Linked DNA regions of Arabidopsis thaliana. The protein of the gene in region 2 interacts with the protein of the main gene of each other region in a pairwise test. Each region holds a gene or a part of one and is shown on either strand. Other genes may lie near its edges.

What was found.
Region 1: the proteins of RAB8C (region 2) and PIP5K2 interact in a two-hybrid assay, tested with the Arabidopsis thaliana proteins (one study listed by BioGRID).

What each region holds. Positions count from the first base shown.
Region 1 is NC_003070.9:29,218,637-29,224,926, forward strand, and holds PIP5K2 (phosphatidylinositol-4-phosphate 5-kinase 2), read left to right. Parts: upstream 1-1,712; 5' UTR 1,713-1,995; coding exon 1,996-3,098; intron 3,099-3,180; coding exon 3,181-3,345; intron 3,346-3,459; coding exon 3,460-3,625; intron 3,626-3,781; coding exon 3,782-3,892; intron 3,893-3,973; coding exon 3,974-4,167; intron 4,168-4,261; coding exon 4,262-4,392; intron 4,393-4,475; coding exon 4,476-4,569; intron 4,570-4,924; coding exon 4,925-5,225; 3' UTR 5,226-5,790; downstream 5,791-6,290.
Region 2 is NC_003076.8:881,775-885,964, forward strand, and holds RAB8C (RAB GTPase homolog 8C), read left to right. Parts: upstream 1-1,536; 5' UTR 1,537-1,904; coding exon 1,905-1,977; intron 1,978-2,219; coding exon 2,220-2,292; coding exon of another isoform or gene 2,293-2,296; intron 2,297-2,370; coding exon 2,371-2,471; intron 2,472-2,615; coding exon 2,616-2,681; intron 2,682-2,784; coding exon 2,785-2,882; intron 2,883-2,958; coding exon 2,959-3,021; intron 3,022-3,105; coding exon 3,106-3,198; intron 3,199-3,300; coding exon 3,301-3,384; 3' UTR 3,385-3,677; downstream 3,678-4,190. Other genes in the region: RABC2A (RAB GTPase homolog C2A), read right to left, coding at 3,967-4,077, 4,159-4,190. UniProt on the Arabidopsis thaliana protein: Involved in membrane trafficking from the Golgi to the plasma membrane.

The DNA.
Region 1 (6,290 bases), on a different chromosome or scaffold from region 2:
GTATAATCATTACCTCGTGCTCTTCAATTTAATGACAGCTTCTTATATGATTAGATCGAGGCAAAATAATGTATACTCTACAAAAGAAGTCAATAACTTTCCATTAGATTAATTGGGATTCAACCATACGACTGTACGTGTTATGTATGTTACACTTCTATATTCGTATAGTATATTAATCACATATTCACACGATATCAAAATGAATAACTAGCGAGTTAATCTAAGATAGATTCAACGAATTAAATTGAATATCAACTGTAGAAGAACTGAAACTTTGAATACCGACCGACGAACGTGACATAATAAAAGCCACACAGTAGAACAATTTCTTAAAAAAATATCATCATGTGGTTACAAAACATTATCACCTGGTTCATTACTTAATTTCATTCGCGATGACGATTATAGTTGATGGTCGATCACAGTTAATATACAGATACAATTAATTTGGATTAGTACTAGTATAGTTTTTTTTTAAAGAAGGAGATAAACATAACTAATCATTTGGTCTTTTACGTGGGTATCACATTAAATCCATACAACGTAGTGCACGCCGGTACACCTTTTCTAAAATATTATAAATATATTTAAGAATTACTATAGTCTATATAGGCTCAATCAAATGTGTCGATCGCTTGAGTCCTTTTGTTTTTTAACGTTACTAAATAGTACTAGTAGTAAATTCACTCTTACAAAACCGTTAGGTGAATTTACCTTTATTCTAACAATAACTATAGTTTAAACAAATTTCAATGATGAAAAGCGGTCGACGAAGTTTCTAACTGCAATTTGCTTCTGAAAAAATCAGAGTAACCAAAACAGAATTCGTTAATTTTTACACGCACGCTTAAATGCGTGTCGACGAGTAAACGAGCACGTATACATCAAACTTGCCGGATTTTTTTTGTTTTGTGATGAGTTCACATGTAAACGATAGTGACCTTTTTGTTATACCGAAATAGATCATAGACCAATTCTCAAACCAATCTCTAAAATGGTTAATGGTAGCCAATATGTCACATTCCTAGATTTCATATGTTCAACTTTTAAACGCTGTTAACATATAACGTATTCATATTTTCAAGTTATCAACAACGCAATATACATGTTTGATTATTTATATGTGGCTAATCGTGTTACTTCTTTTTTTTTGTTCTAAATTCAAATATGAAGATTTTTAGTGGAAAGAAGATATTGGCCCTTGACAAGTTGTTTATGATCTATTAAAGTTTTGTTTTTCCTTTTAATTGAATTTCCTCTATGTTTATCACAAAATAAAGAAAATGAGGAGTAAAAACAAATTCAGCAGAAAATAGTGAAACAAATGATTCATTTCCATATATAACCACAAGGAAAAAGAAAATTTCCCTATTCTAATAGTTTTGTTCCTCCTAATTACTCTGATTACATATATTTAAACTAAAACTGAAAAGTACACATATAGTAATCCGGTCAGGTGATTACTGTCTTTTTTTCAAGATTTTGGAAGTTTTACCCATTTTAAAGAAAATTTTGAATGCTGTTCTATTATAGTATTAACATCTGTTTAGTGAAGTCAAAACATTGGTCATAACAATGTGATTAAAGTTAACATCTGTTTAGTATTAACATTTTTAGGGCTGGTGGGCTTTTTGTGTCCACTTCCCGATGGTTACTGCAACTTTAATTGAATTTTACTATTTTACCCTACCCAATATTAAAGCTTTTTATTTATTTCTCTGCTTCTCTCTTTTGCTCTGTCTCTTTATCCTTTTTCTTTTGATGCTTCATTCTCTCTTTTCTTTTTTTTCCTCTGTAGCGTTTCTAGGAATCTCTCTCCAACGTTTAGGTTTCTTCTCAGATTTAGAAAGTTTCTTCTCTATCTGAAGAATTTTCATTTCGATTTCGCTTCTTCCTTCACCCTAATCCGTAATCGAATGCCATTTCGAAGATTGTGTTGAAGAGTAGAGAGGAAGAAGAAGACTAAGAAGCTAGGGTTTCTCTGATGAGTAGATGATGCGTGAACCGCTTGTTAGCGAAGAAGAAGAAGAAGAAGCTACTGAAGTTTTACTAGTGGAGAAGACGAAGTTGTGTAAGAGACGAGGAGACGAAGAAAAAACGGAAGAGAGAAGAGACGATTTGTTGTTACTAGCTTTAACGCCGATGGTACGATCGAAATCTCAAGGAACTACTCGGCGCGTCACTCCCACGCCACCTCCTGTTGACGTGGAGAAACCGTTACCAAACGGAGATCTCTACATGGGAACGTTTTCCGGCGGGTTTCCCAACGGATCCGGTAAGTATTTGTGGAAGGATGGGTGTATGTACGAAGGCGAGTGGAAACGTGGTAAAGCGAGTGGTAAAGGCAAGTTTTCGTGGCCGAGTGGTGCGACTTATGAAGGAGAGTTCAAATCTGGGAGAATGGAAGGATCTGGGACTTTTGTTGGTGTTGATGGTGATACTTATCGTGGCTCTTGGGTTGCTGATCGGAAACAAGGTCATGGTCAGAAGAGATATGCCAACGGAGATTACTATGAAGGTACATGGCGGCGGAATCTTCAGGATGGGAGAGGGAGATATGTTTGGATGAATGGGAATCAGTATACAGGAGAGTGGAGAAATGGTGTGATATGTGGTAAAGGTGTGCTTGCTTGGCCTAATGGGAATAGATATGAAGGTCAATGGGAAAATGGTGTTCCTAAAGGAAGTGGTGTGTTTACTTGGGCTGATGGAAGTTCGTGGATTGGTTCTTGGAATGAGAGTAGTAATCTCATGAGGAATTTCTTTGATGGGATTGAGAAGAATGAGTTGATTGTTGCGACTAGGAAGAGATCTTCGGTTGATAGTGGCGCTGGAAGTTTGACTGGGGAGAAGATTTTCCCTAGGATATGTATTTGGGAGTCTGATGGAGAAGCTGGGGATATTACTTGTGATATTGTTGATAATGTGGAAGCTTCTGTGATATACAGAGATAGGATTTCTATTGATAAAGATGGGTTTCGTCAGTTTAGGAAGAATCCTTGTTGTTTCAGCGGTGAGGCTAAGAAACCTGGAGAGACGATATCTAAAGGGCATAAGAAATATGATTTGATGCTCAACCTGCAGCATGGAATTAGGTAACTTCTTAGAAGCTTGAGGATCCCAATGTTTGGAGAGTTTCTGGATCTGTGTTTTTCTAACCAAGTTGTGAATTTTTAGGTACTCTGTCGGCAAACACGCTTCCGTTGTTCGAGATCTCAAACAGAGTGATTTTGACCCAAGTGAAAAGTTCTGGACAAGGTTCCCACCGGAGGGTTCTAAGACCACACCACCGCATCTATCTGTGGATTTCCGCTGGAAGGACTATTGCCCTTTGGTGTTTAGGTATTCAATCTTTTCATTTATATGCTGTTTATTTGATTCTGCATAGTTTGGTGATGTCTGCACACTATCTGGGTTTGGGATTAATATGTCTCCTTTGGTTTATTCTTTTGTTAGACGGCTTAGGGAGCTATTCACGGTGGATCCTGCCGATTACATGCTAGCTATCTGTGGAAACGATGCCCTTAGGGAATTGTCTTCGCCTGGAAAGAGTGGAAGCTTTTTTTACTTAACTCAAGATGACAGATTTATGATCAAGACGGTGAAGAAATCTGAAGTCAAGGTTAGTCGTTGGCTTTTGTCTTGACTTCTTCTGTCCTATTTGATTTCCTTTGTATTATTGTTTCTTAGCTTTCACTTTACATTCTTAATCATTTTGTCCACTAAGTGTGGTTACCTAAATAATTTTGACCTGAAGTTTTTTGTTTTCTTTATCCAGGTGCTTCTACGAATGCTTCCAAGTTACTACAAACACGTCTGCCAGTATGAAAATACACTTGTGACTAGGTTCTATGGTGTGCATTGTATCAAACCTGTTGGTGGCCAGAAGGTTTGTGTTGTTCATCTACATTTCATAAGACTCTTTGTTTCCAATGGACAATTTTTCTCATATTGTTTGCCATCTTACCAGACTCGGTTTATCGTTATGGGGAACTTGTTCTGCTCCGAATATAGAATCCAGAGAAGGTTTGACCTTAAAGGGTCTTCCCATGGACGGTATACCTCCAAACCTGAAGGGGAAATTGATGAGACCACTACTCTTAAGGACCTTGATCTCAATTTTGCTTTCCGTCTTCAGAGAAATTGGTACCAAGAGCTTATGACGTAAGCTGCCAAATTCCATCTAGTCTTATTCTTTATTTAATTTGGCTGTTTGAGTGCAAACACTTTGCTCAGCTGACTGGATTTCATTTACCAGGCAAATTAAACGCGACTGTGAGTTCTTGGAAGCTGAAAGAATAATGGATTATAGTCTTTTGGTTGGCGTTCACTTCCGTGATGACAACACAGGAGACAAAATGGGGTTATCTCCATTTGTATTGAGATCTGGTCAGTTAAACTTCTCGTTCTTCCTCAAGTATTATTCTGTGTAACTCGCCCATTTGGATGATATTCATTCATGTATTGTGCAGGTAAGATAGAGTCATACCAAAGCGAAAAATTTATGCGTGGTTGTCGGTTCTTGGAGGCGGAACTTCAAGACATGGACCGCATTTTAGCTGGCAGGTACGTGAATATTTATTCTCACCAATCATTACCTCAGGTTTAATCTCTAGCACAAGAAGTTGACCTAACAACTCATAGTCATTGGTAATTGCTGTGACAGAGAGTGGTTCAATCGTGTAGGTGTGATTTCATATGAGAACTACCTTACATCTCTAAGCATTATTGTATTAAAAAGTTGCTTGGCAATCTTGTGGGGGCTCTCAATTGAATAGAAAAACACAATGATATTGTGGGGGCAAGACAGATCATGTGGTCCTTTTTTGTTGTTAATTAAACTAGTTATTAGAGATCAATCAACTCTTTATCCATAGTTAAAACTCTCAACGTTTTGCTGAAAATTTGATTGCTTTTGCAGGAAACCATTGATTCGATTAGGCGCAAACATGCCTGCAAGAGCAGAACGAATGGCGAGAAGAAGCGACTATGATCAGTATTCCTCAGGAGGGACCAACTACCAATCTCATGGAGAGGTCTACGAAGTGGTTCTATATTTTGGAATCATTGACATTTTACAAGATTACGACATAAGCAAGAAGATCGAGCATGCTTACAAGTCTCTACAAGCTGACCCGGCTTCAATCTCTGCCGTTGATCCCAAACTATACTCAAGAAGGTTTAGAGATTTCATCAGCAGAATCTTCATCGAAGACGGCTAAAATGAAGGTCTACTTATATTAGCCCCATCATTGAAAGGTCAAACCTAAGCTCCTCGCTTTATACCTCAGATAAAAAAGAGGCTTGAAGACCCTGCGGCATTAGGGGCAAAAGGGTAATTGAAGAAGGGCGGAAATTGATTTGGGATTTTTTCAATTATAATATTTGAGAATGAACTGATCAAACAAATTTTGGGTGGGGGATTACTTATTTTTGTTTTGGAGGGTGAGAGGAAGATATATGTCATATGTGAATATAGATTTGTGAAGGAGAAGAAAAGTACATAGGCTTAGAGAAAAAAAAAATGGGTTTGGCAGATTTGGAAATGCATTGGGAATAAGATAAGTGTACAAGATTAATGAATAGGATGGGTGTTTTATTTTATTCCCATTTGCTATATAATTTCCCAATGTCTTTTTATTTGTTTAGAGTTCATTTTGTGATGGATGAAGTATTTTTTAAAATTGAGACAAAAGAAAAAGCTAAAGATTTTATCAAAAGAGGTCCCATATTCCCATGGGATCCCTCTTCTTCTTCACCATCCTTTTCACGTCTAAAGATACTTTGCCAAATTTTATTCAAACTCTATTTTTAGTCACATGTTTGTGTTTAACATATTTGGTATGTAGTAGTATAAAATTTCTCAAATTGTATATGGAAAATAATCAGGTATTTCTGATGATAGTTGTTCATATGTGGAAAATAAATCGACCACTGATATGCCTATACATAAATATATAGGAAGAAAAAAGAATAGTAGTATGTTAGATATATTAAGGATTTGACATGATGTTACTATGATTTATTTACAAAAAAAAAAAGTACATAAACATATACTATGGTCAAAAAAGTAGAGAGAGAGAGGTTGGAATTGAGGTTGTGTTTCCCATGAAAAGGAGAGAAAGCAAAGAGAGAAGACCACATGTATTCTTTTATAAACATCTCACATTACCCTTACTTTTTCATATTTAATTAATCTTAATTTTATATAATTTTAGAGTATGGGTTTTGTTGATGAGCAAGTAAAATATTGATGTGTATGTTGACTTATTTATATCTTCTAATCA
Region 2 (4,190 bases):
AATTTTTTTATTATCGAATGTGTTTTTCACTAGAAAATACGATAATATACTGACCGATGTCTTGAGATTTTGGACATATATCACAAGACATTCATGTAGCAACAAACGAATCTTCATGATCATGTTATGTAGTATGGGAAACTAACAGTAAACTGTTACAAACTTATTGATATGATATATGCTACAACATCTTCTAGAAATAGGAGCTATTACTACGCTACGTACTGTTAATGGTATAATGGTATCTCTATATCGATCATGTCATGTCTTTATATAGTTTATGACTCAATGACTCATCTATATCTTTCTTTTGAAAATAAGAACATGATATGTAGAGAAAGTGCAACTTCTTACTACTAACAAAACGAATGAATATTCCTAACATTTAAATAGAAATAAAGGACATTTGAAAACGATTGATAGGAAAAGTGATACTGTGATTAACGATGTCTTCTACAAATACATTGGATTATATATAATGCCTTTTATCTCCACTAAAAATTGTTGACAGAAAAACCATAATCGCTCCGATCGAAAAGCTCAGAACATAAAATTGAAAACGAGAGTGGTACCCTCAAACTGTTTTATCCATTTAAAGTAATAGCACTACGTTTAGTTCATTTTGAAAAAAAAACGTCGGTGAGACTTGTAACTAATGCTGTCCTTGTCGCATTTTAATAGATATACAATTACAAAATGTCTATCTACATTTGTAATAAAACAAAACATCGAGCCCATGTAGTGTAATTGACAACGATTACTCATTCACTTGGGTGGGATAAAATAATTATGTTTCACTATTATGAATTATCTTGAAAATAAATTCTTATACTGCGTTTATACATCATTTTACGCAAAGAGGCGTGACAAATTCAATGTTGAATTCGTAAGAATATGTTTATCAATGTATATAGATAGTGGATTATTAAAAAAATAAACATCAAATTAATAAAGACTTAAATTTGATTAAGAGATATGTGTGGATGAATATATAATTTGACTTTTTCTTGAACCATGCCACATGTAACAGAGACTCTGGCATGACTGGATACTTTGCTGGATTACGCTAGTGTACGACGTATATACAGCGAAGCAACCGTTTTCACCCACTTACTGCTTGACAGCTCACCATAAACGACATTATTCTACTAGTGTACTGTAGACCAACCGCACTTGATCATATCAAACCTACCTTTACCTCTTCCCCCTGAACTTTCCTAAATGTCATACAATCACCCCAATCATTTATATTACTCCATTCACTCTATCATTTATAAATTTTGACTTTTGTTCATTTAAACCATTAAGCAATCTCTAGTCCTAGATAAGTAGAAACGAGTATTTAAACCAGTTCTTAAAGAAAAAAGACAAATATTATCTGGTTTGGTTTGATATTTTTTTTGTTTTGTTTGGTTTAGTTTGATTTAGTTTCAATTCTAATTGAGTAATTTATAACAAATTTACGGAAATTGAGTTATTTATCATTTTTGTAGTTAAATGGTTTGATTTACGTTTTGTTGTGAAGAAACAAAAAATCTCTCATTTTCCATCCAATTTCTTGTCGGATTCTAGGTGTAAACCGGATTAGAAACCTCTTAGTTGAGAACTTAATAAGTTCATCCCACAATCAAATTAGTTGTGGGGTCAATTGTAACTATTGAAAGTTTCGAGGCTAAAAACTATAAAAACATGAAAATAATATTTTTCAGCAGCTAATCAACTTGTTTTCTTCAGCGAGCGACATTTTGGAAGGAAGCATTCCATTAGCTTTTTTGCTGTCTCCAGAAAATAAATTTTCAATCTTTCGTCGGAAAAAAGAAGAAGAAGAAGCAGAGCTGGGTTTAGTTTTTTCACGAGAAGCAAAGAGATCAATAAGTCAGTGAGCTTTTTTCTCGTTTCTGACGATGGCGGTTGCGCCGGCAAGAGCTCGTTCAGACTATGATTACCTCATCAAGCTTCTTCTCATCGGCGATAGCGGTTAGCTTCTTTATCCATTTATGTGTTCTCAAATTAGCAATTGAAAAAACTCAAAAGTGTTTGATTTCATCTTCTGAGATTATCTCATGTCTGTTTTTTTCCGATCTTAATTAGGGTTTTATGATTTTGTTTTGTTTGTGCTAATTACTAATAGTAGTAGAGATTGTTGAATTCGTTGACAAATTTACTTCTTTTTGTGTTAAATGGTTTGTTTTAGCTTTATGTGTATATTTATGTTTCAGGTGTGGGGAAGAGTTGTTTGTTACTTCGATTCTCAGATGATACTTTCACTACAAGTTTCATTACTACCATTGGGTATGTCTTCTGCTGTTTACTTCAAGATTTGTCTTAAATGTTGTTGTTGTTTGTTGTCTAAGTTTGTGTTTTTTACAGTATTGACTTCAAGATAAGAACTGTTGAACTTGATGGGAAGCGTATCAAATTGCAGATTTGGGACACTGCTGGTCAAGAACGTTTCAGAACTATCACTACAGGTAATAAGCTGGATTTTTAACGTTGTTTGCTACTAATTGAATCGGTTGATTGATTCTTCAGTCTTGTCTTGATGAAGTAAAAGACAATTAATTTGTTTTTGCAATTTCCTTTAAAGCATTTGGTCCCTTTTTTTTGCCTTGCAGCGTATTACAGGGGAGCGATGGGTATATTGCTTGTCTACGATGTAACGGATGAGTCATCTTTTAACAGTATGTATTTTACTTCTCTGTTCGTCTTGTTACTGTTTTGCAATGGCATTGAGAAAATCGGATTGTGAGACTTGTGGCAACTGAACACGACTGTTTCAAACAGATATTAGGAACTGGATGAAGAACATTGAGCAACATGCCTCAGATAATGTCAACAAAATATTGGTTGGTAACAAAGCTGATATGGATGAAAGCAAAAGGGTAAGTAATCTTTAGTTGCATACTTTACTTTCAAGAGTTTAATTATAGTGTACTGATTTGTGATCTTCTTGTTCAGGCTGTTCCAACAGCAAAGGGCCAAGCTTTGGCTGATGAGTATGGAATCAAATTCTTTGAGACGGTGAGCTAGATAAAAAACAGAACATGTCTGCTGTTTTTCATTAATATGCTCTTGAGGTTACTAATGTGATTACAATTGTTGCAGAGTGCAAAAACAAACCTCAATGTCGAAAATGTTTTCATGTCAATCGCAAAAGACATAAAACAAAGATTGACAGAAACCGACACGAAGGCAGAGGTAAGAACTGCAGGAATCAACCATTAATACTCGATCTTCATATTCTTATACCGACATTTTAGCTGAGTAATAAACATATGTACTGTTCTTGTTACTTTGCAGCCCCAAGGCATCAAGATCACTAAACAAGATACTGCCGCATCGTCTTCTACAGCCGAGAAGTCAGCTTGCTGTAGTTACGTTTAGGAGTATGATTGCTCTTTTTCGCCTGCACCGGGTTTTTTAAATATCTGGCCATCTTTTTCATCTCTTACGTCTCAAATCAGAGATAATTCTCATGTTGTTACCTAGAACGAGTAGGAAATCTCATTGATGGTTGTGATCTTTATGTCTAATTTGTTATCTCCATAATTCCTGTACAATGATCTTCCTGATATGGAAGACTATGTTGGTCAAAAAACTATGTGAAAAAGACTTTGAATTTATAAAAATGAAACTGTTGTAGTGTGTATACCTCTGACTTCACTGTTCAAATCAGGATTTATCTTATTCACTGTGAATGCTGTTCTCTACTAGAACCATAGTTTGAGCCAAAATAAACACGGATTTAAGAAAACACTTGATGGGGTTTATTCTATTATATGATGTTATTATCACAAATCTCATTTCAGAAGCAAAAGAAGAATACAAGTAATCCCACAAATTTACATTGAAGCTACATTATGTTCTACACACAAAAGAGGCAACCACAGAGAGAAGAATCAGGTTCAGTTTGCAATACACAAGATAAAGATTCGAGTATTTTATATGCAACATCGACTAGGGTCACTAGCTGCAACAGCCGGATTGAGTATTAGTCTGGTGTTCTGGTTTCTGCTTCAAGATGTTTCTCTTCACAGCACTTGATCCTTCTTCCAAGAGACTAGGTACCTCCATTATCTGTTTCATCACATTCACTCTATGTTATATATGAATCTCTCTTTTCGAATCGTTTTTTTAAACAGATTTAAGGATCTTTACCTTCAAAGCCAACTCTTCGAAACACTGTTCCA